4 linked regions of the Tamandua tetradactyla genome follow. The protein of the gene in region 1 interacts with the protein of each later gene in a pairwise test. Links are inferred from orthologs where the notes say so. Each region holds a gene or a part of one and is shown in the gene's direction. Other genes may lie near its edges. The genes, in order: SSX2IP, TFIP11, CCHCR1 and MRPL53.

What was found.
Region 2: the proteins of SSX2IP (region 1) and TFIP11 interact in binary tests that used the Homo sapiens proteins (3 or more experiments, as listed by UniProt). The two-hybrid records come from large-scale screens. The link is inferred for Tamandua tetradactyla from reciprocal best matches to the Homo sapiens genes SSX2IP and TFIP11.
Region 3: the proteins of SSX2IP (region 1) and CCHCR1 interact in binary tests that used the Homo sapiens proteins (3 or more experiments, as listed by UniProt). The link is inferred for Tamandua tetradactyla from reciprocal best matches to the Homo sapiens genes SSX2IP and CCHCR1.
Region 4: the proteins of SSX2IP (region 1) and MRPL53 interact in binary tests that used the Homo sapiens proteins (3 or more experiments, as listed by UniProt). The two-hybrid records come from large-scale screens. The link is inferred for Tamandua tetradactyla from reciprocal best matches to the Homo sapiens genes SSX2IP and MRPL53.

What each region holds. Positions count from the first base shown.
Region 1 is NC_135337.1:40,381,324-40,388,968, forward strand, and holds the start of SSX2IP (afadin- and alpha-actinin-binding protein), read left to right. Parts: upstream 1-4,633; 5' UTR 4,634-4,783; intron 4,784-4,877; exon of another isoform or gene 4,878-5,007; intron 5,008-5,595; exon of another isoform or gene 5,596-5,618; intron 5,619-6,120; exon of another isoform or gene 6,121-6,478; intron 6,479-7,645. UniProt on the Homo sapiens protein: Belongs to an adhesion system, which plays a role in the organization of homotypic, interneuronal and heterotypic cell-cell adherens junctions (AJs).
Region 2 is NC_135331.1:36,079,143-36,087,108, reverse strand, and holds the start of TFIP11 (tuftelin-interacting protein 11), read left to right. Parts: upstream 1-4,948; 5' UTR 4,949-5,036; intron 5,037-6,541; 5' UTR 6,542-6,550; coding exon 6,551-6,759; intron 6,760-7,966. UniProt on the Homo sapiens protein: Involved in pre-mRNA splicing, specifically in spliceosome disassembly during late-stage splicing events. Intron turnover seems to proceed through reactions in two lariat-intron associated complexes termed Intron Large (IL) and Intron Small (IS).
Region 3 is NC_135331.1:86,079,103-86,086,739, reverse strand, and holds the start of CCHCR1 (coiled-coil alpha-helical rod protein 1), read left to right. Parts: upstream 1-4,621; 5' UTR 4,622-5,176; coding exon 5,177-5,395; intron 5,396-5,688; coding exon 5,689-5,755; intron 5,756-5,833; coding exon 5,834-6,047; intron 6,048-7,637. Other genes in the region: TCF19 (transcription factor 19), read right to left, coding at 860-1,100, 1,576-2,146, 3,071-3,308. UniProt on the Homo sapiens protein: May be a regulator of keratinocyte proliferation or differentiation.
Region 4 is NC_135343.1:48,371,085-48,377,565, reverse strand, and holds MRPL53 (large ribosomal subunit protein mL53), read left to right. Parts: upstream 1-4,360; 5' UTR 4,361-4,393; coding exon 4,394-4,488; intron 4,489-4,597; coding exon 4,598-4,710; intron 4,711-4,818; coding exon 4,819-4,955; 3' UTR 4,956-5,964; downstream 5,965-6,481. Other genes in the region: CCDC142 (coiled-coil domain-containing protein 142), read left to right, coding at 2,129-2,243, 2,448-2,625, 2,749-2,948, 3,095-3,351.

The sequences.
Region 1 (7,645 bases):
TCCTCCATACTTACCTCCCATTTGCCATTATATACTGGCCAAAACTAGGTCACAAGCTTAGCCCCTAAACATGTCACTGACAAAGTACCGGAGACAGAATAGCAAGTTTGGTTTAGACCAATGGCTCTCAAAATACGAGTGTCTGTTAAGCCAAAATTATTTTTATATATCTTTGGCCAACTGATTTTTGACATGTTGTCAAGTCCACTCAATTAGGAAAGAATGGTCTCTTCAAAAAATGGTACTGGGAAAACTGGATATCCTTATGCAAGAAAATAAATGTGGACCCTTATCTCACACTATATACAAAAATTAACTCAAGATGATCGAAGACCTAACTATAAGAACCTGATCTATAAATCTCCTAGAAGATAACATAGAGAAGCATCTTCAGGATCTTGTGTTAGGGAATGACTTCTTAGACTTTCCACCAAAAGCACAGGCAACAAAGGAAAAATATAATTGGGACTTCATCAAAATGAAAAACTTTTGTGCATTAAAGGACTTCACCATGAGAGTAAAGAGACAAGCTACAGAATGGGAGAAAATATTTGGAAACCATATATCCAATAAGGGTTTAATATCCAGAATATAAAAAGAAAAAGAACTCAACAATAAAAAGACAAACAACTAAATTTAAAAAATGGCAAAATGCTTTAATAGACATTTCTCCAAAGAAGATATACAAGTAGCCAAAATGCACATGAAAAGATGCTCAGTATCATTAGCCATTACGGAAATGCAAAACAAAACCACAATGAAATACCATTTCATGCCCACTAGAATGGCTAGTGTTTAAAAAAAAATAAAGAAAATAAGTGCTGGAGGGGATGTGGAGAAATAAGACCACTAGCTTATTGCTGTGAGAATCTAAAATGGTGCAGCCACTGTGGAAAACAGTTTGGCAGTTCTTCAGAAAGTTAAGTATAGAATTTACCATATGACACAGCAACCCCATGCTAGATATATACCAAAAGGAAATGAAAGCAGGGACGCAAACAGATTATTTGCACACCAATGTTCATAGCAGCATTATTCACAGCTGCTAAAAGGTGGAAGCAACCCAGATGTCCAACAACAGATGAAGGGGTAAATCAAATATGGTATATACATACAATGAAATATTCTTCAGCCATAAAAAGAAACGAAGTCTGATACATGTAACAATATGGATGAACTCTGAAGACATCATGTTGAGTGAAGTAAATCAGATACAAAAAGACAAATACTTTATGATCTCACTGTAGGAAATAGAATAAACAAATTAATAGAATCAGAAACTGGAATCCAATTTATCAGGGGCAGGGGTGGGGGTAGGGAATTGAGAGTTAATGCTAAATTGGTACAGAGTTGCTGTTTGGGGTACTAGAAAAGCTTTAGTAATTGATAGCGGGGACGATTAAGGAAAAGGTAATTTTATTATAATTCTAAGATCTTATTTACTTTTAAAATTCTCATTCTCTTACAAGTATACAGTGGGGTTTTCTGAAGCTACCTCAAAGACTGCAAGAGATTGAATGCTGAGGTAGATATGACAAACCAGATGCCTTATATTAACCAGATATTAAAAGGTATTTGCAAACTTTCAAACTATACCACTCCTTTTACTAACTTATTGGAAAATATAGTTATTTTTCAATGAAATGTAATATTTATGTTAAGGTCATTATGTATTTTTTTTAAATAAATATTTGTTAATTTCTCAGTTTTAAAATCTAATATAAATATCAATAGCTATAACCCACAATAAAGAAAAGCTCTTTAAACCTTCAATAATTTTAAGAGTGTACAGGGGTCCTGAGATCAACAGTTGGAGAACCACTGGTTTATTCAGACCTGATCCATCCCTGGGTCTGGAGAGAGGACCGGTCTCACCGAGCTCGTGTCAGCCTGCCCTGAAATTTTGTAAAATCTGACTCTGTTAGTCAGTAGGACACTAAGAGGAAATGCTGGATGCTGCTTACTGAATTATCTCAACTCTTCTAGTTAATCAGAGAGTGAAACCTCACCTTTTGACTGAACTGTGAGGAAGGGAATGGTCAAAATGAAGCCTTAAGTTCTATTTCAAAGAGAAGCTTTCACATTAAGTTGCTTCTCGAGGTGGACAGGGGTGTGGATTTTGCGGAGTGGACAATTTAAATTTCAAAACCCATCTTGGGTGCGGGGGATTCCTCTACCCCCACCCCACCATTGCTCTAGATTAGGGAGCAAGGTAATAATTAGTTTCGCCTCCCCAGAAGTCCTGGGCTAAAGGTATCCTTACAGTGATGGGCCTGAGGGACTATTTGGCTATCTTTCAATTATGCTCTGTAGCATCTAGCCTGGCCATCAGATGGCTTAGGTCAAATATGAGGATTTCTCTGGGTCTTTGTAGTGATTAAATGTTGGTCCCCAAATATACGAACCCCCAGAACCTGTGAATATAACCTTATTTGGAAAAAGGGTCTTTGCAATCCAGTTAAAGATCTCCAGATAAGATCATCCTGGAATAGCACTAAGTCCAATGGCAAGTGTTTTTAGAAGAGAGAGGAAGAAGACACACACAATGGAAAGCCATGCAAAGAGTTGGCAGAGGTTGGGAGTGATGGTCTGTGTGCTGGTTTGTTTGATCTATTACGCACCCCAGAAAAGCCATGATTTAATCCTGATCCAGTCTTGTGGGAGCAACTGTTTCTTTTAATCCCTATTCAGTTTTGTAGGTTGGAGTCTTTTGATTAGATTGTCTCTAGGGAGATGTGACACACCTGATTGGAGGGGGTATTAATTCTGATTAGCTGGAGATGTGACTTCACCCATTTGGGGTGGGTCTTGATTAGCTTAATGGAATCCTTTAATAGAGGAAAACATTTTGGAGAGAGCTCAGAGCAGGCAGAGCCTACAGAAAAGACAGAAACGAGAGAAATGACAGAAGTTTCAGAGCCAAGAGAAACTTCACAGCAAAGCTGACACAGATGTGGACATGTGGCGAGCAGAGATACTGATGTTTGGAGATGCTTGGAGGCCAGCAGATGTTGCCATGAAATGTTAAGCAAACCAGAACTTGGTGACAGCCAAGGGAAGCCAAGAGATGAAAGCCAGTACTGGAGAAGTAAAGTGAGGAACCTTCATAGGAGCAGAGGCTGAAAGCAATGGATCCCAGGAGAAAGGGGCCAGCAAATGCCAGACACGTGACTACCCAGATGAAAGAGGTGTTCCTGATCCATCCGCCTTCCTTGAATGAAAGTAAGCTCTTGTGGGTACCTTCATTTGGACACTTTTCCCCTCCTTAGAATTGTAAACTTGGGACCTTTTAAGTGCCCCCTATTAAAAGCCATTCCAATTTGGTATATTGCATTCTGGCAGCTGGCAATCTAACACAGTCTGTGAACCAAGGAACCAAGTATTGTTGGCACCTCCAGAAGGTATAAGGCATGGAATGGATTTTCTTTCAGAGCATCCAGAAGGAATCTATGACACCTTGATTTTGGACTCCTGGCCTTCAGAACTGCAAGGGAATAAATTCCTGTTGTTTACAACCACACTGTTTGTGGTCATTTAAATCAGCTCTTGAAAACTAATATAGTCCCCATGTATTGCTCATTTTCTCACTTTAATCCTTCATCCAGGATTAGGGATACTGGGAGGGGAACTGTTCTTCCCCAGTTGTTCAGTATTAATATTTCTTGTTCTTGTCTCATACAACGCTCTTAGATGCCTCCTTAAAATGCCAAATCTCCCATTTTTCTTCCTTAATAAATCTTTTAGCTTCACTAAAAAATATAAATGACAAAAATCCACTCAATTACATCTTTGTGTTTTTTAACTCAACTCATATGTTTGTGATTTCTTCATCCATTTCTTTCCTTTCTCTGGCCTCTTCCTTTACATGCTTACACTGAACAGGGGAGGGGCGGCTCTAACCCTGGCACCACTGAAGCAAGCGTACATTTTCTCTGCACATATTTTGTTGAGTGGGTGTTGAATATCTTTGCATAAACTTCTAGTTTACGAATACCATTTCTTATAGTCTTCCCTTATCCCGCTGTCTTCTGCTAGGTCCGTTTCTTTGCCCTTATTGTACACGTACTTTTGGGTTTGGGTTTGTTTGCATCCATGATTTCCGACGCTTGATCCTCCCTTCCCTTGGGCCTGACCTAATTCTAGGTACCGGCCGTTGTTTGGTTTATTTCTCCTCTTTTGCGAACGCACGTGGCAATTTGGGGAGCATGCACTTTTTGATCCTTGGATGGGTGCTGGGGTTCATTTGGGCTCCGAAAACATGTTTTACGCAGCCATAACCACTTCCCCCTCAGAGCCCCCGGCCCGGAGGTCCGCGGGCGTGAGGAGGGGGTGGGGAGCAGAGCCGGGCAGGGTGAATCACAGGGCGTAACAGGTGCCGCAGCCGCAGCCACAGCTGCTCCCGCATCCCGCTCCGGCTCTTAGGGATAAGGTTTTCTTTTTCTCCTAGTTTTTTTGGAGGTGGGGAGGAGACTCCGGAGGCCCCACCGGACCAATGCAGGCCGCGGTTGTTCATCGCCTAGCAACTGGCGCAGCCAATGGGAGGCGGCCCGGCCGGCGGCGACGCGGCGGCGCGGGGGCGGGGTGGGAACCTAGCGAACCTGCAGGGGCCGGGAGGCGGAGCAGAGCCCCGCGCGGGGCGGAGCCAGCGGGAGCCCGGGACGGAGGAGGGGCCGTCGGCGCGCGAGGCGCTGCGTCCTGCCGCGGCTGTAAGGGCCCCCGGGGGTGCAGGAGGCTGTCTTGGACGCAGAGCGGTGACTCCTCGCCGCTCCCGGGGGCTGTGACGGTGAGCAGCCTCGCTCCCAGCGGGGATTGTGACGCGCCCGCCCGTCCGCGGAGGGGAGAGCGGCGCAGACGGGGCTGGGTGCGGGCGGGGGGCCGGCACCGGCGCGGGGCGGGCGGGCGAGGAGGTGAGCGCCTGCACCTGGCTCGACGCCCCGCGGCTCTGCGAGAGGCTCTGCGCGACCGTTGGGGCGGTTGGACGGTGCGGGAGAGCGCTGGAGGTGGGAGGTAGGTTCCAGCGCGGGGGCCGCTCCCGCTGGTGGACGCCGCCTTACGTTCTCCGGAGGGCTCGGTCCGGGGTCTGCGGGAGGCGCCCCAAACAGTCTCCGGGTGTTTGGCGTGGAATGACGAGCAACGCGGAGACGTGTGGGAGGAGGGGATGGCAGATTTGGAGCTGCAGTGTGTCCTTCGCCGAGTTTGTAGGGACTGCGGGGTTCGGGGTTCAGGAGTTTGTGAGTCTAAACCACCAGAGGCTGTCGTTAAAATGAGACCTTGGGAGGCCCGTGTCCGCTGCAGGATGAGAAAACCTTCCTAGTGGTCTCGTTAAAAGTCTAGGAGAAAGCACATCATCAGTGATGCAGGCATGTGTGAGAACATTTTGATGTAGAATTTTATCGTACAGTGGACTGAACTGTGAGCACCCTGCACCCTTTTAAACCTATGCTGCTCACCCAGTTATGCAAGTCTCTTTCTTGGGCCCAGGAATCAGAATCCATTAAGTCATGTTTTCTCTCTGCACACGTAATAATGGGAATCCTTAGATGATCTCATTTTACGTAGTTGTGAATGCCAAGGTGTCCTCACTAGCAAGGTTGATGTAGTTCTTTGATCTGAGAGAAGTAGGTTTTCCCTTTTCTGTACTCCATATTCAGTTAAGAATTAGGAGTGGTACCCCTCAGAGGGTGGGTCACGCGTGTGAGGTTGCGGGTTTCCAAGGCTTTAAGTTACTGTGCCCCTCAAACGATTCAGATTGGAGTCTAGGTCTGTGAATGGATGCCTTGGAACCCTTCATGGTGCAGGGGGATTGTCTTACTGTTGAAATGGAAGAAAAAGCCTTATAATTAGAACGTGAACTGGAAAGGGAGGCATGACTTGACACATTTAGGAGACTGAATAAAATTTGCGAAGAATTAGAGAAAAAGGCCTTTAAACTTAGCATAGGTCATACTATCTTGGAATTTAGAATTTGAGATTTATGAATTTGGATTGAGCCAGCAAAACTTAATCCACCAAATCTCCTACAGGCCTAGGAATCTTTGGTTACTCATTCAAACAAAACTAGTAAAAAAGGGTAAGAAATAATTTGACATGTGTTCTGCTGTCAGTGAAATAGTTCTTTGAAAAGAGGATTAGGAACTGCTAGTTAAAGTGAAGCCTCTTTTGGTGACTGGCCTGACATCTTCAGCCAAGTCGTCTTATACTCTTTCTTTCCTTCTCTCTTTCCATCTGTGCAATGAAGATAATAAAGCCCTGGGATTAAGTGACATGGCTGAAACAGCTTGAAGATAGGTGCGAAGACTTAGTTATTCTAGGATGAAATGTGAAGATCTCCTCATAGCACATTGAGCCTTGTGACAAGACTTGTTAAAGCACATTATATTCCCAACATGCTCAAGCAGTATATGAGAAAACTAAAATGTTAATTGTTCAGATGATTTACCAAAGGCTGTGAGGCCAACGCAAAGTCAGAATTATGAAGGTGAGGTTTTCTGAAACCTGACACAGTCTGCTCTTTGGCCAAGTTTTGATACAGGTTTCATAAAAGAAGACTTTGGGTGCCTTTATGTGGTATGTACTTAGGAGTAAAAAGAATGATAAAAGAAAAAGACACTGTCCCAGAATAGAATGATTTTAATTCAGTTTACCTGCCAGAATTGGAGCAATACCAAGTTTTTTTTTGGTTTTTTGCATGGGCAGGCACCAGGAATCGAACCCGGGTCTCCAGCATGGCAGGCAAGAACTCTGCCTGCTGAGCCACCGTGGCCCACCCCCAAGGCTTTTTTAAGTGCTGTTTTTCCATATCTTTTACAATAGATGTGAATATGCCTGTTTTTAGTTTTATTGGTCTGGCCATTTGTTTATGACACAGAGATTTTGATACGATCTTGGTCTGTTTTGTGTTTTCTGTGATTATGATTAGGTAGTAATGAAGGCATTATCTTGAATTTTCATGAGCTTGTAGGATGAGATAGAGAAGTGCCCCATTCATTACTGGTAATGGAGAACAGCCTAAAATCATGACTTTTGACAGTGTCAATATTGTTATTTTATATAACAGCTTTACAGAATTATGCTTTAATAATTTCTTCTTTCAATAAGCAATTATCAAACACTAAGCTGATATTTGCTAGACCTGAAGATAAAGAAATGAATATTGTCTTGAGGAATTTGTTTCTAGGAAATTTGCAGTGCATTGAGAGAAAAAAAAAAGTAATAATTGCATTATGGGAGGTTATAGAAAAGAGAGAATTTCAGCTGTGTTTTGATGGAGGCAGCTGGTGCATTCTGCAGTGTATACAATTATTGAATTATAGGTGGTTTTGTAGAGTTGGAGCAGGGTGGGGTAGGTTAGTGATAATGCTGGTTGAACCAGGGCTTTAAATTTTGACCTGTAGGTGATGGTGAACCTTTGAAAGGTTTTATTCAGAGTATATTTGATTTTTACTTTAGAAGTGTATGCCCATCAAAATCAGTAATTGGAGTGATCCAAAAGCGTTCTGTGCACAGATGACCCTGTAATATAATAACTACAGCCTGTACGCAATTATAGACCTGAAAAATACGTTATGGAAACCTCCAGAAACTTGAGAAAAGCAGAAATTATTCATGTGAAAACCTCAATTATATACCTTCTACTTTTAAGATT
Region 2 (7,966 bases), on another chromosome or scaffold:
CTCGCCGCAGCCAAGTCTCGCAGTCAGACTTGCCAGCCCAGACTTTGGATAGCCCTCTGATGCGAGACTCGTAGTCGCGGACTCGAAGCTGAGACTCGAAGCCGCCCGCAAAAGTGTGGCGCCGGCCGCCTTGGCTGGGAAGCTTGTCTCTCCGCGTCCCTCAGCCAGCCCGGGAAGGAGGGAGGGATTAGCTCGGACCGCCGCAGCTGCGGCTGCTCGGGAAATCGCCCGCCGCTCGGGGATCTCACTCACCGCAGCCGATTTTCGCAGTCAGACTAACCAGCCCAGACTGGGTTACGCTGTGTGTCCATTCCCTGCTGTAGCCCCGGGAGCTGTTCTGTACTGTTTCTGTTCACCTATTAGTTGATTTGGAGTCGGAGGAACTAAGACGCATGTACCTTACTAAGACGCCATCTTGGATCCTGTCTTTCCACTTTCTTGATGAAGTTCTTTGATGCACAAAAGTGTTTAATTTTGAGGAGCTCCCATTTATTTATTTCCTTCTTCAGTGCTCTTGCTTTAGGTTTAAGGTCCATAAAACTGCCTCCAATTGTAAGTTTCATAAGATATCTCCCTACATTCTCCTCTAACTGTTTTATGGTCTTAGACCTAATGTTTAGATCTTTGATCCATTTTCAGTTAACTTTTGTATAGGGTGTGAGATATGGGTCTTCTTTCATTCTTTTGCATATGGATATCCAGTTCTCTAGGCCTACTGTTTATTGAAGAGACTGTTCTGTCCCAGGTGAGTTGGCTTGACTGCCTTATCAAAGATCAAAAGTCCAAAGATGAGAGGGTCTATATCTGAGCACTCTATTCGATTCCATTGGTTGATATATCTATCTTTATGCCAATACCATGCTGTTTTGACCACTGTGGCTTCATAATATGCCTTAAAGTCAGGCAGCGTGAGACCTCCAGCTTCGTTTTTTTTCCTCAAGATGTTTTTAGCAATTCAGGGCACCCTGCCCTTCCAGATAAATTTGCTTATTGGTTTTTCTATTTCTGAAAAATAAGTTGTTGGGATTTTGATTGGTATTGCATTGAATCTGTAAATCAACTTAGGTAGGATTGACATCTTAACTATATTTAGTCTTCCAATCCATGAACACGGTATGCCCTTCCATCTATTTAGGTCTTCTGTGATTTCTTTTAACAGTTTTTTGTAGTTTTCTTTATATAGGTTTTTTGTCTCTTTAGTTAAATTTATTCCTAGGTATTTTATTCTTTTAGTTGCAATTGTAAATGGGATTCGTTTCTTGATTTCCCCCTCAGCTTGTTCATTACTAGTGTATAGCCCATTTTATTTTATCATGGGAAAAAAAAAAAAACCCTTTACAGCAGCCTGGACATTATCCCTGTTTTACAGATGGGAAAATAGAGGTGTAGTGGGGTGAAGCAACCTGCCCCAGGCACCCCATGTAGGAAGCCACAAAATGGAGATTTGGATTCATTAAGTTTTACCCCAGAGCCTTTTTTTTTTTTTCCAAAAAAATTACAAAAAAGTTGTAAATATAGTGGAGAAACATCTTTCCCCGAATCATTGGAGATTAAGTTGCCAATGTTTTGCTCTATCACCCTCCAATACCTTAGTATTTCCAACAAACAAGGGCGTTCTCTGATATACCCACAGAACAATCATCATAATCAGGAAATTAACATTGCCTCATCATTGCCACAGAATATTCATCCCTCATTCACATTTGTCACATCTCAATAATATCCTTTATAGCAAAAAGATCCAATTCAGAATCATGCATTGTATTTAGTTGTCTATAAAGTTTTCTTCGGTCTAAAACAACTCCACAGCCTTTCTTTAAAGTTCACGATCTTGGCACTTTTGAAGATTACAGGCCAGTTTTGCAGAATTTCCAATCTGAGCTTGTATTCTAGATCCTTGTCATTACATTCAGATTTTGCGACTTGGCAGGAAAATCACAAAAGTAATGCCGTGATCTTCTCAGGGCATTCTACCAAATAATATATGATTTCAAGTTTTCCATTACTGCTGACGCACTCCACTCAGTTGACCAGAGCCTGCACTCTTAACAACCCTACAAGAGTCCACAAAAGTGCAATCCTCAGAAGTTACATGGTGGGGTCTCCTTGGTGAAGCAAACCCACTAAAGTTAGGTCCCCATGATCAAAAGTGACTGCAACTCCACAATTGTCTGCCATCAAGCCACAGAAATAGCTACAGAGAAGTTAAAACTTACTTATATTTTTATGTTCAGACCTAGACTCTTAATGGGTCTTGTCTTCTTGTTTGGACCCTGCTCTTTCCGGTGGACCTTTTAGTCCGCTAGTCTCATTCCTTTGAAAAAGTCACTCTTAGTTTCCTCCCTGAGTTTGTACTATGTGTCAGGCATAGCGACACAGTGCCACTGGGGATACAGAACATTAAAGTCAGTCCCCACCCCTAAGAAGTCTGTGTTTAAATGGCTTTATATAGGTTCGCATTTTATTCATAACAACAATGTAAGGGTAGACCTGTGGTTGGAATTTGCCTGGTTGCTAGGTTAAACCACAAAATGGGTTGGTTAAACAACAGGATTTCATTGTCTCAGTTTTGGAGGCTAGAAGTCTAACATCACAGTGTCAGCAAGGCCGTGCCTTCTCCAGAGCCTGTAGTGTTTTGGTGATGGCTTTTCAGGGATCTTCTGTCACATGTCGACTTGTATTCTGTCTCTGGTTTCTACTTTTTTATAGAATTTCTTTTGCTTATAAGGATTTCAGTTATCTTGGATTAAGGCCTACTCTCATTCCGATTAGCCACATCTTCAAAGGTCCTATTTATAAATCGGTTCACACTAACAGGATTGGGGTTAGGACTTGAAATGTCTTTTGTGGGGGACATGATTCAATCTACCACAGAACTCAAGTCTTTTGACTACGTCCTGTGCTTTTTGTACAGTCCAATAATTTCCTTTTGGATCTTTTCATTACACGGAGAAGAGAGAACATAATAAACATTGACAGCTAACATTTCCTAAGACTGGACTATGTGCCAGGTAGAGTCTTAATGGCAAACTGTTTTAGTTTGCTAAGGCTGCTGGAATGCAGTACACCAGAAATAGATGGCTTTTATAAAAGGGATTTATTTAGTTACAAATTTACAGTTCCTTGCAGGAAAGGCAGCTAGCTTTTAGCTTTCACCAGGGTTTCTCTGTTACACAGTGTTCTAGTTTCCAAGCTGCCAGAATGTGATATACCAGAAATGGACCCGATTTTATCAAGGGGAATTTACTAAGTTACAAGTTTACAATTCTCAGGAAGTGAAGGTGTCCAAATTAAGGCACCAACAAGAGGTTACCTTCACTCAAGAAAGGCTAGTGGGTCTGGAACACCTCTATCAGCTGGGAAGTCATATGGATGATTTGCTGGTCCCTTGCTCCTGGGCTCTGCTGTTCTCAGCCCCTGTTCCTGTGGGGATTCCTCACTTTGCTTCTCCAGGGCTGGCTTTTATCTCATGGCGATGGGGAGAGAACCTTGGCTCTCTCCAGGTTCTGGCTTGCTTAACCTCTCATGGCGATGGCTGCTGGGCTCCAAGTATCTCCAAACATCCATATCTATGTTTTCCATGTGTCTCTGTGTCAGCTCTGCTGTGAGGTTTCCGTCAGTTCTGAGGCTTCTGTTGTTTCTGACTCTCTCCAAAATGTTTCCTCTTTTAAAGGATTCCAGTAAACTAATCAGGACCCACCTGGAGTGGGTGGAGTCATAGCTCCATCTAATCCAAGGTCACATCCACAATTGGGCGTGTCACATCTCCATGGAGATAATCTAATCAAAAGATTCCAACCTATAGCATTAAATCAAGATTAAAAGAAACGGCTGCCCTCACAAGACTGAATCAGGGTTTAAGGTGGCTTTTCTGGGGTACATACTATTTTCAAAGGAGCACACATGAGAGGGCACATGGCTACATCCTTTGGGCTTTTCTCCCCGCTTCTGGGTTCAAACTGCTTTCCCCAGAGTTCTGGGTTCAAACCGCTTTCTCTTTTCTGCATCTCCAAATGTCTGGATCTGAGCCCTGAGTGCTAAGCTGAGCTGTTGAGCTGTTCTCTTGCATCTAACTTCTCCTTTTAAGCCTCATTTATTGCGGAAGGCACTCCCTTTAGCCCATCACAGATGTAATCAGCTATTTATAAAGTTCACATGTTGATGACTTAAGTGCCCAGCCACAGAACAAGTGGGCACCGTTATCTGGGTAAGCTGACACCTGAACCTAACTACTACACTGACACTGTTTGATTTCATTGAATCCTCAACCATTTTGCGGAGAAAAATGAAGTTTAGAGAAATGCCCAAACTCTACAGCTGGTAACTCGCAGGCCTGAGATCAGAACTTCAGAGCCTGTGTGCTCCTAATGGCAACAGAGAGTCTCAGAGGAGCCAGGGATTCCAGGCAGGTGCCAGATTCGTTCTTGAGCCTCGCACAAGGTTGGTAGTCAGTACATTTTTAATTAGATGAGTAAATGAATGAATTCATCAACCTGTATGAAATCAAGGATGGAAAAATTTCCAGAAAAAATACTTGGGAACTCCTAAGAGTTTGCCCATTCATTCCCCCAAACCCCTTTTATAAGGCAGCTTCTCTGCGCCCGTGACGATGCTTACACCGAGAGACCCAAATATACAGGAGACGCAAACACGGCTTTCATTATCCCCATATGAATGTCCGTCGCGTCCCCTCCAGATTTACAGTCTGAGGCTGGTCTCTGGCCAAAGTCGTTCTGGGACGTCCCGACGGGTCAACCCAGGCCAGATAACGCATTACAAAACCGGAAAGGCACTCCCTGGCCACTCGGGGCGCTACAACCTCCATGTACCTTCTAGCATCTTAACGCCGCTGTTCGAAAAAGAAAGCCGCTCTAGCGTTGTGTTGTTGCTACCGCACACCGCGCCACTTTGTCGATGTCAAGGGACGTCATTTCCGGTGCGCGGCTCTATTCACGTCCGGGTTCTGGAGAGCGGAAGTGGCGTGTTTAGGGCGCCGAGTGGGAAGCTGCGTGTGGTCCTGGGAACCCATCCGAGAGGTGAGGGCGCTAGGGGTCTCGTAGCAGCGGGAGTGGGGATGCAGTCTCGGAGACGGCTGGCTTCAGCCTCGGCCTCGCCTGTGTCGGATTCCCCTTCGCAAACCGCGCTGCCGGAGCCCGGGGAGGGGCGGGGCCGCTCGGGGTCACCAGGGAGTGGGGGCCAGCACCCAGTCAGGAAGGCGTGTGTCTTTCGTGATGCCTGGACAGCGGGGTTGAGAAAGGCCCGAGCCTTAGGTTTTTCCTACAGGCGAGGAGTTTTTCCTTGGAGCTTCATTTTTCCATCTGAAGCATGGAAACGTTATAGTTCCTGCCCGTAAAAGTGTTTCGATACCTAGATTGGAAAACCGTCTCGCAGCACCCAGCAAGTACTTAGCACCTACAATGGCCCTATAACTCGTAACTACTCTGAGATTGTAACCATGTCATTTGCCCAGGGTGCCAGCGGTATAATTTACTCCGATGTAGCTGGGACTCCCCACCTTTGAAAATATTTGCCGCCTGTACACGCTTTACCCAGAGCGGTGAGCAGACGAAGCAGGAGTTTTCTCACAGCTGAGTAGAATTTGACACTCTAGTGCCTACCTGTACGTGAAGGCTGCGTGCAGTAACTGGTAGACCAGAATCACAATTACTGTCACTTGTTGAGTGTGTGACATTGTAGTGGCACCATCAAATTCACGAATACTCACAAACTGAGTACCTGTGTTGGGATTTGAACCTAGGCCGTGACTCATAATCATTTTGATGGATTGACTCAGTAGCAATGGTGAACCTAATCATGGCACTATAGTAGCAGCTGTTGTTCTTTAGCACTTACTGTGAGTTAAGTGCTTTTAAAGCACCATGTCACTGAATCTGCCTTACAAGCTTTCTCAAAGGTTGATACAGCATTTAGTCCTAATTTAAGAGCTAGCAAAATCTTATCACCTGGCTACCAAGAGGTGAATTCTCTATTCTGGTTCACACAGTTATTGTAGTGTTCATAGTTAACTGTTGTCTTCTACTTCAGGAGAAGAGGCCATGTTTTGAGAGGAAAACTTAGAGTTTCCGCTCTAAGGATCTTTTGAGTGTCTTCAGGAAATTTATTTTAAAAAGCATATTCCAAAAAAACCATTCTGCCTGGGAGTGGGCCAGGCATCCAGATATAACCTTTTTCCTCAAAAATAGAAAACATAATAATAAAATTTGGGGTCCAGGAAGTCATTTACCCAGTTTCTGAGGCAATAATATACAGAATAACACACTTAGTTATTTTTGTATGATTTGTGTATGTCTGTGCATATGATGTTTTATGGCATTGACTAGGACAGAAATACATACTTTTTAAGAATCACATAGATGGATCTGTTTTAAATGTCTGCTTAATTGAATAGTAACAATAATCTTAACAGACTTTGGGTCTGGAAAAAGTTCTGAAGGCACCAAGAAACAGGGACTCACAAGGAAGCTTTCTGCTGCTGCTCCCAGCACTTTTCACAGACTGCACTTTTTGTCCATTCTTGTAGTGGCTGGCCATGTCGCTGTCCCATTTGTACCGGGATGGGGAAGGCCACATAGATGACGACGAGGATGAGCGGGAGAACTTTGAGATCACCGACTGGGATCTCCAGAATGAGTTCAACCCCAACCGACCCCGCCACTGGCAGACTAAGGAAGAGGCCACCTACGGGATTTGGGCAGAACGTGACTCAGATGAGGAGAGGCCCAGCTTTGGAGGCAAACGGTACTGGCTTACATGGGACTGACTTCACCTTGCTTTAGAGAAAGGGGACAGGATGGAGGAAGTAGGGAAGTATACATCTCTCCTGGCCTTACAGATCCATTAGCTATGACATCAGCTATGGAAGTGTAATTTCCTCTTCAGGAAAGGTGCTATTCTTTCACAGATGTGATCATTCAGTCATTGTTTATCCAGAGCAGTTACTGTGTGTCAGGGCTTGGGCTGTAGAAGGAGTTTCTGCCTGGAGCTTGGCGCCTAGTGAACAGAGACAGGCATTGATTAATGCCACACAAAGAAATGGAAGTTTGTACTGTGATTCAGGTTGTCAAGAAAAGCACATTTTGGGGGTGTTTGACCTATTCTGGGGGATCAGGGAAGGTTCCTCTGGAGAAGAGATCCTTGAGTGGATATGAAAATAAAAAGTTAGGGTGGAAGGAGAGGCAAGGGTATATAAAGGCCCCTGATGGAAAGAACAGCTTATCCACAGGAAAAGAAGAAAGGTTGAGGGGCCTGGAGTAGAGGGATGGAGGAAGAACATAGTTTGAGGAGCTCAGGAAGTCAGGTCACCTGGGACCTGGAGGCTGCAGTTGAGGGGATGTGATGTAGGGCTGATTGTGCTTTGAGAAGACCCTTTTGTTAGTGTGCAGGGTGGGCCTGGAGCTGCAGGGGAAGAGGAAGCTCTGTGAGAAGGCTGCGGCTAGGATGGGGACAGCGAGATGGAGGATTCACATGGCAGGTCCTTTCCCCAGTGGAGGCCCAGGTGTGAGCTGGTGCAGTTCACTTGACCAGAATGTGGAGCAGATTTGAGTTTGTCTTGCCCTTGCTCACATCTGTAGCCTGTGGGCTCCATTCCACAGAGGCTATATCTTTTTCACAAAGGGGATTGGGAAAGAGTGTCAGGATCAGTATTAACTGTAGTTCATACTTTGCAAATAGGTGCATTTTCCCCATATACCTCTTTATTATTAACTCCTTGCAATAGTCTCATATATTTGCTCTAGTTCATGAAACAGCTTTTTTATATTTGTACTGTTTATCACATTGTCCACAACATTTTAACCTCCATGTTATGCAGACCTATGTTTTAACCTCTAGCTTTCCTTCTGGTGATGTACATGACTCTAAATTTCCCCTTTCTGCCACATTCACACACAAGTCAGTACTGTTCATTATATTCACAATAATGTGCTAACATCCCCCTATCCATTTC
Region 3 (7,637 bases), on another chromosome or scaffold:
AATATTTTGGCTGGTATGAGGTTCATTGGTTAAAGTTGATACTCACTGGACCAAGGCATCATCTGCTCTAGCTTGCCTGGTGGTACTGGTAAATGCTGTAAAAGTTTCCACCACCTTTGTGAAACCTGAGAAGATCCTAACTACCTTACTATAATGGTAGAAACCTTAATTAGCTCTATTCCTTTTTCCTGTTTCCCTCTTTCAGCTCATTCTTAGATCGCCACTTCCTAAATCTGTTTTCAGGCCTTTACCCAGAGTACATATTCCCAAGCATTGGGAATCCAGGAGTATGAGACTCCAAGAATAAATACCCAGGGGTGAAAGAAGAAGCCGCTTGTTCTTTATTTGGAAACTGAAGCAGAAAGTCTAAAGTTTTCAAAAAACATGTCATGGTCAAGATCGGGTAGGATCAGCCACAGTGTAAGGAAGCTTGGGGGCCGGGGCCCAGGTTTTCTCAGCATCTGTGTGGATTTTCAATTTCAAGGAATTGTCCAGATCTTATGACAGTCTTTTCAGGCATGGCCACTGTAATTGATCGATGCTCTGTGCCCAGACGTTCTGGTGTCCCTGCTAACAAGCCTCTACATTCTGTAGCAATGGGAATTTCCAGTTCACTGGCAACAACTTCCTGGAGGCAAAGTCTGACAGGCAACCAGCTCTCTTCTGTCACCTTGGCCATGAGGACCTGTTGCAGGCCCTGAGTCAGGATCCATGGCAAGGGACCCTTCTTCCCTGGAGTCACTCCCTCCTGGGGAGGGAAGGGAAGAAGGGGCATTTTTAAGGACTCGTTCCCACCCCACTGTCCACCCCTGGCCTGGAGTTCCCAGCTCTGCGTCCTCTGGTGCTGTGGTGATGGGCCTTAGGTCTGTGTGCCAGCACGGCACCCCGGGCACCGGAAGTCTGCCTCCCTGGCAGCCTGGATGCTGCAGCCCACACAGGCCACATGGAACCACACATCACAACCATCACACTGAACCCAGGCCACTGTCTCTTCTTGGGGCAGGCTGCAGCGGGGGGCTGCACAGGGCTCCCCGCCCCCAACTGCAGGGGGAGCCATGGGGACAGTCACTGGGTGCTTCCGAGGACGCCCACGACGATTTCTGAAGGAAGTTGAAGGGGAAGACACAAAAACCAGGGTCACTGGAAACCTGGGAGCCTAGGATTTGCCCCTGGTGAACCCAGGGTGACCCGGAAACTTGGAAAGCCTGTAGGGTGGACCCAGATAAGCTCTGTAATGTAAACTTGGAAACTGTCCCCTGAACATGTAGGGTGGGGCTAGAAATCAGTCCCTGAAAACCTTACAGAGTGAGCCCAGAAATCCCCCATCCTCAGGCACTCAAAAATAGGGTTAAAGCTGTATGAAAGTAAAAGGTGGGACCCTAATGCCTGCCCACTTGCCCAATCTAGTTTTATAGCCATTCCCCCATCCCACCTACCTCAATTGCTCCTATGGATTTTTTTTCCCCCCCGTTAATAGAGTTGACCCAGGTTTTGCTGTTCTATTCCACCAGTCTACCTCTCCCACGCCTCAGCCTGGGACTCAAAAAGGCAGGAGAGACAGGACTCTTCACTCACCCATTGGGTGTCAGTGGTGCCTTCTCTCCGCGTAGTTTCTTCCTGGGCTCTATGTAGACTGGTGGGGGGCTCTCAGGGGCCCCCCTTTCATCATCCAATTCTGCCAGCACTCGGTGGGCTGATTTCCTCCGGTTTCTGGGGGCTGGGGGTGGGGCAGAAGGGGAGCCCCCCACTTCCCCGCAGAGAGTGGGAGGGGGCAAGCTCTGTGGCTCCCTCCCACCCCCACTCCGGGAGAAGGTGAGGGGCTGGTGCTGGAGCTTGCTGAGGCTGCCGATGGAGTTGAGGATCAGCGTGGCCTTTGGGGCAGGGGAGAGGGTACTGATGGGCCGCTGCGGAGCCCCCTGGGAGGGCAGCATGGGCCGGAAACCACCCCCAGTCCCCACTTCTCCCCTAGATCGTGGGATGGTGATGGCAGCAAAGTCCTGAGGTTTCACTCGGACTTGTTGGAACATGAAGTAGAACTCGGAGGGACTGTTTCCTGGGGGTCCTTCAGGGCCAAAGGTCAGGAGGTCACCATCACTCAACTCCAGCCTGTGACCCTTTGGGAGTCGGACATTGTTGACCAAGGTTCCTGTTGGTGGGGACCAGGCAGATGAAGAGAATGGCAAAACAAAACCCGGAAAAAAAAATCCAGAATCAGGAGTGGGAAAACATCTGTTAGATTTTTTGGGGTCTAGTAAGAACATGGAACCCTGTCATTCTTTCCTCCCTCACATTCTAAACCCCTCAGCGAATGACACCAGATAATAAGCTCCTTGTAAGCTGGGAACAAATTCATTTTTCTTGGGGCACATGGAGGGAATGGACTCTGCTGAGTCCTAATCTCAGACAGGGGCTCACTCTCACCCAACTCAACTAAAGGACAGCACAGGTCAGCAGCAGATGGTGTTCAAGCCCCAGCTCTACCACTTGTCAGCGTCGACAAGTTTCTTAACCTCTTTGTGCCTCATTTTTCTCGTCTGTAAAATAGGAATGGTCATCAGTGCCCACCTACATTCAATGCATGTAAACAGTGGGTACGAAAAATATTGGCTACTGTAATTATGTAATCCCCACAACAGCCCCAACATCTAAGAGGTGACACGACAGGCCAGAAACCAGTGACAAGCCCTTCTGAGACTGAGACTGTAACTGAGTTAGGGAAAAATACACAGGCCCAAAGCATTAAAATAGAATTCAATGAAAAGCAGGAAGGAACGAGGTGCCTCAGCAAAGCTGGAAATGGGATCAAGACTGAGTTTGGCTCTCAATGGCCCCAGAACATCCCCACTGTGACACTTCTCTACTGATGTCCTAGGCCCTGGATCTACTTCCCAGCCCCCTGTAGGGGCTAAACAGGACCCTCTGGAGGGGACTCTTGACACTGCACACTTCTGATGGGAATATGTAGGTCTGGACCCTAAATGCCCAATGGGAGGGTGGCAAGGGGATCCTTAATCCTCTTAGCTTGGACCTGGGGGGGGGGGGGGCTCAGGAGCAAGGACGTCCTGCTCACCATGGCTGCTGTGGTCCTCCAGGCTGACCCTCCAGTCATCGCCCCGGCGCTCAGCATGCAGCTCTGCGTGGACCCCAGAGATGAGGCCGGGTTCCTCCTGGGGCCGCAGGGCCACATCACACAGGTCTGCCCGGCAGCCCAAGCGATAGGTGCAGCCAGCCCCCGTGGGTGGGTGGAAGGTGTAGAGATCACCACCTCGGCCGCCCCCTATGCGCAGCAGCTGGAAGCAGGGCAGCATGGGCGGTGCCCCTCCACACCACAGCTTCCACTTCAGGAATTCATCACCCTTCCCACTCCTGGGCCAGGCACGGTGGTTCAAGTTCACTTCTCAATCTGATGCGAACTTAAATTGTACTTTGTGCAGTTTCAACTTCAAGCACACTCCCTGAGTAGTGCAAAATCAGTGTAAGCAGCCGACGTATGCAATGCAAAATTTGCTGTCTAGCAACTGTGCAACTGAAAAATTCGGGTGGGGTTCCTGGTACAACGCAAAACCAGGAACACGCCTTATGGCACCGCAGATGAGCCGATTCTCAGGCCGCAAAATATTCGGGGAGCCTCTGATCTGTGCAAGACAATGATACAATAGACAACTTCTGAGGAAATGCAAACTGGGGGTCCTGCTTCTGAACAATACCAGCGTATCACAGTGTAACTTGGAGAAAGAAGCGTCTTCCTGTCAAACCTGTTTATCCAAAAGGAGTACCCCTCCCGCTCGCCTGCGCCTCCCTTTTCTGGCCAATTCCTCACTTGTAACTAGTTAATTTGGAACCCCGCGGTAAGTGAATCTACTGTCACCTTGAAAAGGTAGTGCAAACCGGTTCCTAAATTAACTAACAAAACGGATCTAAAAGCTCACCTTTACGGCTTCTCCGCGGGATAAAAACTGCAGGAGCTCCCAGAGATCATACAATTCAAACCCGACCTTTTCTCTCCTGGCCCGCTCAGTATAATCTCAGAGCGGTTTGTCCTCCATGAGCTACCAGCCGGTGCAGCGGTCTCTGGCGCTCCGGCAGCTGTTTGACAGCGAGGAGGCACTGGCCGGTGGGGCGGGGCCTCCGAGCGCGGGCAGCGCGCGACCCCGCCCTCGGAGTTCCCGGGTGAACGCCGCGCCGAGGGGCCACGCCCCTCTGGCCGCTCATGATTGGCCAGCCCATTCGGCGTTGCTCCACTCCATTGGGCGGCACACAGGGAGGCCCGAGCTCCCGCTTTCCGCGTTTTCTGATTAGTTCACTAAGTTTCCCGGGTTCCCGGAGTTGGGAGGAGCCGTCAGGGCGCGGAGGTGCTAGAACACCTTTATTGGCCCCAGTTTTAGACGCTACTACGCTTGCGTGCTCCTTTTCTCCGCCCCCTTCCGGGGTGAACTAGTCTTCTGAGCCTCCCGCCAACCCGCCCGCTCTGCGCAGGCGCAGTAAGAGGAGGCGGCCTTGGCCCGGGAACCTAGAGAGGTGGCGGTGGCCTGAGGGGTGGGGTGGGGTGGGGTGGGGAAGTGGCGCGTGCGCAGGGTAAGGAGCGTTTGGGCGTAGTCGGTTGGGGGTGGGAAGGGTCGGTTGTGGGCGGGAAGGGGCTGGCTGGGGTGTGGGGGTGGGTACAAGGGGTCCATCGGGAAGAAGGTTCAGGGGCCTGGTAAAGGAACAGATAGGGTGGTCAGAACAGCCTTAGATCTCGGAATCCAGCCGGCTGTAGGCGCGGGGATAACTGGGGTATCGGAGAAGAGCGGGGGTGAGAATCGAGAGTGTAGGGAGACGAGAGCAGGCATCTTTGAGCCGGTAGATGAGGGTGAGAGTGACGGACAAGGATAATTTCTTCAGGAAAAAAACAGATTAGGACTAGGGAGGGAGTGGGGTATGAATCTCAGGCTCTAGAAAAAAATAGATCAATTCGGGTGGGATGGTGGAGGTGAGATCTTGAAGAGCCCACTCTTACCCTGAGACTCCGAAGAGGGGAGAGTGGGCAATAGGAATGGAAACTGAGGGGATAATAGAGAGAAACTGAAAGGAGAATTGCAGAAAGGGATTCAGTGAAATGGCAGACAGCTGGCCTTTCTGTCAAGGGGTCTAGGGCTGTGTGGATTCCCAGGGATCCTGGGGAGGCATCTAGCCCTACATGTGGTGGCACTCGTCTGCAGCCAGGCCTTGGGCCAGTGCTTTCATAGGGAAGGACCCAGGAGTCATGGCTTGGTGGTGTCTGGATGGGCTTCCTCAAGGCCTGGCTGAGCCATGGAGAGAACTCTGGAGGTTGGGCTCACAGCGCCTGCACTCCGTGCGCCCTCTCTCACCTCAGACCTGCAGGACCAGCAGGGACTCTAGAAACTTAAGGAGGAGGGTAAAGACTGCCCAAAATACTAGGAATATGAGTAGAACCTAAGAGCTTTCCTCAGCTTGTGTCAGTAAATCCCCCCCCCCCCCACCTCATGTTATTGCCAGGGTTCTGTCAGGAATCAGGGTGGGACAAAGAGGTGATCTTGGGGGTTTCTCCTTTTGGAAACTAGGAGAAGAGAAGCTGAATGTCGGGTGGACCAGTTATTATTTAGGAAGGATAACTTTATCATAGGGGCTTTCTCTTTGGAAGGGGTGTGAAAACTGAATTGGAATGTCCTTGTTTTTCCTGTTGTTCAGGGGATCATGGATGGCTGGAGACAGAATCTAGAGCCTTCAGAAAGTGCAGAGATGTTTCGAACTTCAGGTCAGTGGGACCAGACTAGGGGACTGGTGATGACCTCTCCTTGGGAAACTGACCACCTGTGCCCTTGTGATTCCTCAGGTTCCACTAGGCTAATTCCTCCATCCCACTTCCAAGCTCGGCCCCTTCATTCTGTGCCAAGAATGGCTTCTACCTGGGTCTCGGACATTCCCCTGGTGCAATCCCTGGCCCAACAAGAGGTCTCAGAGAGGCGGCTAGACAACCAGAGACTGCAGGCGGACATGTGGGAACGATCTGCTTCTGGCGATGGGCAGGAGCCAGCACGGAGAGACAGGTAGGCATCTGGCATCACCATTTCCTTAGCTTGCTCACCGAAGACTCTGTTTTACCAGAATAGATTCCTTACCCTGTGTCAGCAGTTGGTTCCATAATTTTTTTCTTCCTTTTTCTATCACTTGAGTTTTTTTTTTCTTTTAAAAATGTATACAATAGGGTGCACAGGTGGTTAGGTGGTAGAATGCTTGCCTTCCATGAGGGAGAGCCGAGTTTGATTCCTGGACCATGCACCCCCCCCCCCCAAATATATATATATATACAACATAACATTTCCCATTTTAATCACTTTCACATACACAATTCAGTGGTATAAAGTTTTGCTAATGGATGGTGGTGATGGTAAGATACCATCGTGAATGTAATCAATATAATTTATTCACTTTTACATAACCAGTTCTTCGGTGCCTACAAACTATAAATAGTAAGGAAGTTGCTGGAGACTAGGGATGAGATAACAAAGATGAATGGGCGAGATCCTGATATTAAGGAGTTTAAAATCTTAGGTCAGTTCACCCCAAAATCATGAGCAACAAAACAAACAAATGGGTAAATTGGGCTTCATCAAAATTAAAAATTGTTGTGCATCATAGAACATTATCAAGAAAGTGAAGACAACCTACTGATTGGGAGAAAATATTGGGAAGTCATGTATCTGATAATGGTTTAAGATCCAGAATATAAAAAGAAATCCTGCAACTCAACAACAAAAAGACAACCCAAATGAAAAATGGACTTTAATAGACATTTCTCTTAAAAGGCACATGAAAAGATGCTCATCATTAGCCATTAAGGAAATTAAAATCAAAACCACAATGAGATACCACTTCACACCCATTAGAATAGCTTATTAAAAATAAAAAATAGCAAGTGTTGTCAATGATGTGGAGAAACAGGAACCTTTGTACTTTGTTGATGGAAATGTAAAATGGTTCAGCTACTGTAGAAAACAGTTTGGTGGTGCATCAAAAAGTTAACTAAAAATTATCATAAGGCTTGGCAGTCCCACTGCTTGGTATGTACTCAAAAGGAAAAAACATGGACTCAGGTAGGTATTTGTACACCAGTGGTCATAGCAGCAGCATCCAGATAGCCAAATACGGTAGGCAGTAGCAACCCTAATGTTCAGCTGATGAACATTTCTTAAGAAGAGATGTTAAGAAATGTTAAGACTCTATAAAGGTTTCGTGCACTGAGTTTGCTTTCCTGGAACCTATGATTCCCAGAGGGTTCCTAGGTCTGAGAAATCTTGAAACCCAGAGTGACCAACCACTCCACAATTATCAATTAATTATATCCCCCTGTCCTTTAGTGTCTGCACCACTTCTCAACATGAAAAAAGTCAGAATGGGCTTTGCCCAGGGATCCTTATGGATTGGGAGAGGGATCATGGAAGAAAGAGGAGGTATAACAGAGTAAATAGGATTTAACAGAGAAGTATGACTGCTGAATCACTATATTAATATTCCATCTAGCCTCCAGTGTTTGGGAGCAGCTAGAAGGAAAAATCTGAGGTGATGGAGTAGCAACCCATGACAAAGTCTGGGATCTATTCTGTAACTACTGGCTGAAGTGTACTTTGAAAAATATT
Region 4 (6,481 bases), on another chromosome or scaffold:
GCCGGGTCTCCTTGAAAATCAAAAAGAGGGCCAGTCACCACCCACCACAGGCTCTGAATGCTTCCCAAGAGCATGTCTGACTTCACATGGGGGCTTTGTCCTGAAATAATTGGGAATTTTATACTTTAAATGTCTTTATACTTTAATGTTACTTGAATGTTGTTTTATACTCTGTAAAATATTAAGATGCTAGTATCTTTATAAAACATTTTCTTTTTTGTAAAAAAAAAATAGGGGAAACAGAGGCTAAAATATATTGGGCAGATGGAAATACTAGCGAGAGAGAGGGGTAAAGGGTATGGTATGTATGAGTTTTTTCTTTTTTCTTTTTATTTCTTTTTCTGAATTGATGCAGATATTCTAAGAAATAATCATGGTGATGAATACACAGCTATGTGATATTGTGCGTTATTGATAATATACCAAGAATGGTATGCTTATATGATAAGAATGTTCATGTTTGTATGTTGTTATGTTTAAAAAAATAAAATTAAATTAAAAGGCCCCACACAGGACCTGTGGCTGGGCAGCTTCGGAGAGCTGAGGTACCAAGGCAGGCAGTTCCTAGAGCTTTGGGGGAGAGTGAAGAGATGGCCTGACCAGAGCAGAGGCTCCCTCTGTACGTGGGAGTACAGAGGTAGGCTTCAAATTGTGGAAGGCACCGAACACTAGCTCAAAGAATTTGGGCTTTATCTCATGAGTGATGGTGAGCTCCTATAAGAGCAGGAGAGGAACAGTGCAGGTTGTGACAGAGTTTGATCTGGCTGGAGTGAGCAGGGTGGACAGGAGGTGAAGAGACCAGATATGATAAGGATCTAGCACTTACTGGTTGTGGGGAGAACAAAGCCAAAGTGACAGGCCCACAGCGTGCTTACCATGTCAACAAAAACACTATGAAGCTCTCTCTGTGCCTTCCTCCTCTGCCTGGTGACTGCACCAGTGAATGCCTGCTCAGGGCTGTCTGTGGCATGCAGCAATGGGTGACAAGGAAGAATCAAGCATTATGAGTTCTCTCCACTGCTGGACTGTGAGGTCCCAGAGGAAGAGAACATCTCGTACTCTGTACCAGAACTACCCCAGAATGTTGAGTGTGGAGATTCCTAACACATGTTGATTGAAAAAGAGGTAATTTCCATGACGTAAATAAGGAAGGAGAAGGCCATCTTCTGTGTCCCCCCTCTGAAATTCTAACCTCTTCCCCCAAACACTGTATTTAAAGGCTCAGTGGATCTCCATTGAAGTGTTTGTGGGAGAAGTGACAAAGAGTAGTTTAACTCTAGACAGATTGTTTTCAGGAGATGTACCAGGAACCACGTGGGCTCCCCCTTACCATGTCTGGGTCCCCCAAACCCTTCCTCTCGTCAGGCTCTCTGGCATCCAGTCAGCCTTCTCTTTACAAAGCAACCACCACATATCCCATTTCTTGGGGTTCTTCTCCAAGTTGGGCTGTGGAATGAAGACCCCCTTTGTTGCTGTCCTTTCCCCATCCAAAAACCAAACCAAAACCAACCAAAGAAAACAAAGAAACAAACAAAACTGGCCCATGAGCCTTTTCTTTTCTTGCTTTATGAATTATGTTGCTCTAGAAAAATGGAAGTGGGTGTCAAGAATGTTCAGTGTGAGTACATTCCAAAGGTTCCTGAATCTCAGAAAGTTAAAATAGCCATTGTCCATTGTTCCTGGCCTACATGCAGTTCCTCCCTCCCTTTGGAAGATCATTACAACTACTCCTTCTTCCCTCAGTCTCTGTCCACCTCCAGGTCATGCAGACCTCTCTGGCATGTACTTTAGAACATTCTGGGGGTGGTGGTGGGGAATCTCACTTTTTTCCTATTCAGGTTCCTCTGTTACAAATTAATCTCAAGGATTTTCCTACCTCTGATACACGCTGCCTGGAGCAGAGTAATCCTAGGACAGCTGTTGATAGTATTTTCTGGGTCCAGACCTCTTAGAAAACCCAATGAAAGCTATAGGACCTTGCCTCAGAAAATGCCCAGGTGCACACAGTTATGCATACAACTCTAGGGTTTTACGGACCCCAGGTTAACCACCTCAAATTTAGAAAAGCATCATAACTTGACAAGCCCCTAATAGATAAGACCCTTTTATTTCCTCCTTGTCTCCATAGCTCCTGCCTGAAGAGTCACTAAGACTCTTTTTTCAAGAATGTCATAAACAAGCCACGCAGGGCTTCAAGCGCTACATGCCACGTGGTCGATACTGGCGGCTTCATCTTTGTCCTGGTAACTCCTCATGCCAGCATCTCCTTCCAGGGGTTCAAGGGGGTAATGGTGTCCCACTCCCTCCAAATCCTGGCTCCACTTCTCTGTCTCTATTCTTATCCTCACCTTCTTTGCCTCCCTCCAAAATCCTACCCTCTACCCCCATTCTGTTTAGAGTGGCTCTCCCTAGCCTCGTATCCTGCCTTTTCTCTTCTCTCATTCTAGAACTGCCCAGCGTTCCCAGTCAGTATGCTGGGGTGGTGGTCCGCACCGTACTGGAGCCTGTGTTACAAGGATTGCAGGGATTGCCACCTCAAGCCCAGGCTTCCACCCTCGAAAAGGCACTGACAGCTGTCCTGGGTGCCTGGCTCGACCACATCCTCACCCATAGGATCCGGTTCAGGTGGGAGAAAAGGAGGCTGCAGCAGGGGGATAAATGGAATTGGGAGAAGGGATGAGATAGGTGGAGCAGGGCAGGTAGGAGAGGCAGGAGGGTCAAGTGGCTTCATTGTACTTTGGCCTTCAGCCTGCAGGGGGCACTGCAGCTCAGACAGGACTTTGCAGTAGTCAAGGAATTGCTGGAAGAGGAGCAGTGGGGCCTGTCCCCTGACCTTCGACAGACTCTGCTCATGCTCAGCATCTTCCAGCAGCTGGATGGGGCCTTGCTGTGTTTATTACAGCAACCCCTACCCAAGACTCGAGTCCACAGGAGGCTCCCTTATTGCTGTGAGTCACTTCCCTTTTCCAACTGCAGGCTCTCTTCACTGCTCACTCACTTTTTTATGTACCCCTACCCCGCCCCTTTCCTAAACACTGGGGTCTGGCTTCACCCTCTCCCCCCAGCCACCTGTCGTCTGCTCCCTTCTTACCAGGTTCTTGTAATGAGGTGCAAACCACAGAATTGCCCAGCAACAGCCTCAACAGCCTGGAGAGCTTGGAACCCCCTCTTCGGCCTGGAGCACCCCCAGCCCAGTCAGCTCAGCTGTTAAGTACACTGTGGGGAGGAGGACCTAGCCCTGAGGCTTACCTGGTAGGAAATGAGCAGGCCTGGCTTGCCCTGAGGCAGCACCAACACCCACGTTGGCACTTGCCTTTCCTTTCCTGCTTCTGTACAAGTCCTGAACACTAAGGAGCCTGGAACCAGGAGCCAGGGTGTCAGATTCTCATCACTGGCTGGTGACGTGCAGACAAAAATTACGTATTAGGGATCCTAGAATTGGGAACTTAGAAGAAAGTACACCTGAGAACCACAAGCTAAACAATGCTTGGACTTACAATTTAAGAATGAAAGATGACTCCAGCACCAGGAATCCAGAGAAAAGTGCAAAACCACACTCGGGAACCTGGAGGTCAGCATTGTTGAGCTCAGGCCTGGTTCCACATTAGTAAAGACTTCCCGGGGTCAGAAGCTGTAGGAGGGCTAGAGACTTGGGCCCAGGAGACAGGGAAAGGGAACAGCAGTAGAAAGCAGAAAGCCTAGATGCCACTTCTTCTTAGACTCTGGGAGCCAGGCTAAAACCAAAGTTAACTGAACAGAAACCACAGACGTAGTACAGGCAATTCTGCACTTGTGTAAGTGCCAAAGCTGTTACCGTGGGCTGCCAGTTACTTTCAGTCATTTAAAAATATTAGGCTGTCGGACCTTCAGATTTAAGCTGTGGTTACCCAGAGTTCAACATGTATAACCTTCATTTACCTGCATGGGCTTTACCTCCCGTAGGCGTTTTATCAGTGCCCTCTTTTTGGAAGGGGCCAGGATTTAAGATGGTGCAAACCTAGATCTGGCACTACAGGATATGGAAGGGAGAAATCTGCAGAAGTCGAACATATTTCGGAGCCAGGTGCACAGGGGTTTTGCAATATTTATTGTCCTCACCGCGGTACAAAGGGCTATGTCAAGAAATAGAAACTCCTCGCTTACTCTGGGTTCCTCGCTGTGTGATTTTCGCAAACCAAGTTAGGCGCTTCCCGCTTGTACGGAAACAGTCAATCCCCTCCCCTCCCCATCCATACTTCCTTCTTTCGGGTTGAGGAACCCGGACAGCGAGTCAGGGCGTGGACGGTGGCGGAAGACCGCTACCTCTAACAGCAACTAGCGCCGCCGAAGACCCGGCGTCCGCAGCTGGTTGCAACGTCACTTCCTCCCGAGGCCTTCCGGGACAGAGGTCATCATGGCGGTGGCGGCATTGGTTCGGCTAGGTCTCCGGTCTGTTAAGCAGGTTCGGATTCAGTTCTGCCCCTTCGAGAAAAACGTGGAGTCGACGAGGTAGGAGGGGAAGGGGAGGGCTGGGGGCAGGAAAGGGAGCACCTTCCTCTCGCGGGAGGTCTGAGCCCCAGGGTCCGGCGCTACTGCCGCCGGCGTTCTCCCGCCGCAGGACCTTCCTCCAGGTGGTGAGCAGCGAGAAGGTCCGCTCCACCAACCTCAACTGCTCGGTGATTGTGGACGTGAGGCACGATGGCTCCGAACCCTGCGTGGACGTACTGTTTGGTGGGCTCGGCGGTGGGGAGTCGGGCGGGGAGGCGGTAGTCAGCTCGCGCGCTTTTCTCACCAGCCGGATAGTCTTCCCTGTGCTTAACTCATTTGTTTCTTCCCCAGGAGACGGGCACCGCCTGATTATGCGCGGCGCCCATCTCACCGCCCAGGAAATGCTCACTGCCTTCACCTCCCATGTCCAGGCCAGGGGTGCAGCGGGGAGCGGGGACAAGCCCGGCGTTGGTACCGGCAGGAGCTGACGGCGCAAACGAGACCGACAAGATTTTAGCTTGGGAGTAGGACATTTACTTAAGAAGAGTTTGACATAATCACTCCTATCTGGAGGACTTACCCAGCACGAACACAAAAAGAAAAGCAGTCCTGCAACCAGTGTTTGGGGGCGAGATAAGATCGGAGAGGGGTCTGGATGACCATGAATTTATTTCACTTTCTTACCATCCCACACTGCTTAACCCTTTAAATTTGGCTTCTCCTATCACTCGCCAAAGGTACCTCTTACTCATTTTAGTCAAATTCGGTGCTGTTTTATGAGTCCACATCTTTACATCTCAGTTGCCACTTTTAATTCACCCCCTATGGAAGCTTTTTCACTTTAAGTCCTTTTTTTTCTAACATTAAAGTGTACCGCCCTCATTCTTCTTTTTCTTCTCTATATTCTTCTACTCTCTCTCATAACTTTGGGCCCTCTCATTCTCTCTTATAATTTAAACTGTCCTATCCCAGCTTAATCTCTCTGGCTCTAATACCAACTTCTGTGTTACAGTTCATAGTTTAGTTTACCTGCTATCAATCTCCCCCAAACCTCACCAACACTCTTTGTCTAAAATAGAGTTGATACTGGTACATACACATATTTTTGTTTCTCTCCAGACTTATCTTTCCTTTTCAAGCACTTCAGCTAGGTTTGAAACCATAGCATTATCTTGGGTTCCCCTCTCTCCCTTTCTCTGCATATCCTAGTAAGTACAAAATACTCTGTTTTAAATAAAGCTCCTGAGATATTTTTCTCCATTACATTCACTATCCTGTATCATTGTTGCATTTCCCCACCTGCTCTCTTAATCATTTTTGCTGCTGCTTAATTGTGTCTTTCCAAAGTACATCTCCCATTTCTACCTGTTTGAGAAAACAGTGATGAAAATAGTGTTTTTCATACTGGGTTACCACCCATTAGTGTGGATCATGAAATGGACTTAAGATATTAAAGCAACCTTAAAAACGTGAAATAGAATAAAAAGTATCAGAGTGCATGGCATATAGTTTTGGAAATATTCCTTTAGGATATTTGGTATTAAGCTTATAACCGTGTGTGTGTGTGTATATATATAAAATATATATTTCTTATTTATATTTATTATGTAATATATGTTATATATGTGTGTGTGTATCTGCAAGTATGGGTTGCAATATAAAATTATTTCTTACTGTGAGTTGTAGGAAAACATGGATGAAAGTCAGTGGTTTAGAAAAGAAATTCAGAAGGCTCAACGAGATAATCAAGGACCTCCAGACATTGCTGCTGTGTACTTTGCCAAATACATTTTCCCACAACATTACCATATGGCTTCCCTGCCTAAAAGCATGCTATCTTCAAAGGACTCTTCTCTCCACCCCCCCACTTAAAAAAAAAAAAATACAGGGAGGCAGTGTTTGTAGTAAAGAGGCAGACTCCCTGGGGCTGAAATGCCCTAAGGAACTGTGTGACTTTGAACAAATAACTTAATCTCTCAGTGCCTGTTTCCTCATTTGTAAAATGGGGTTAATA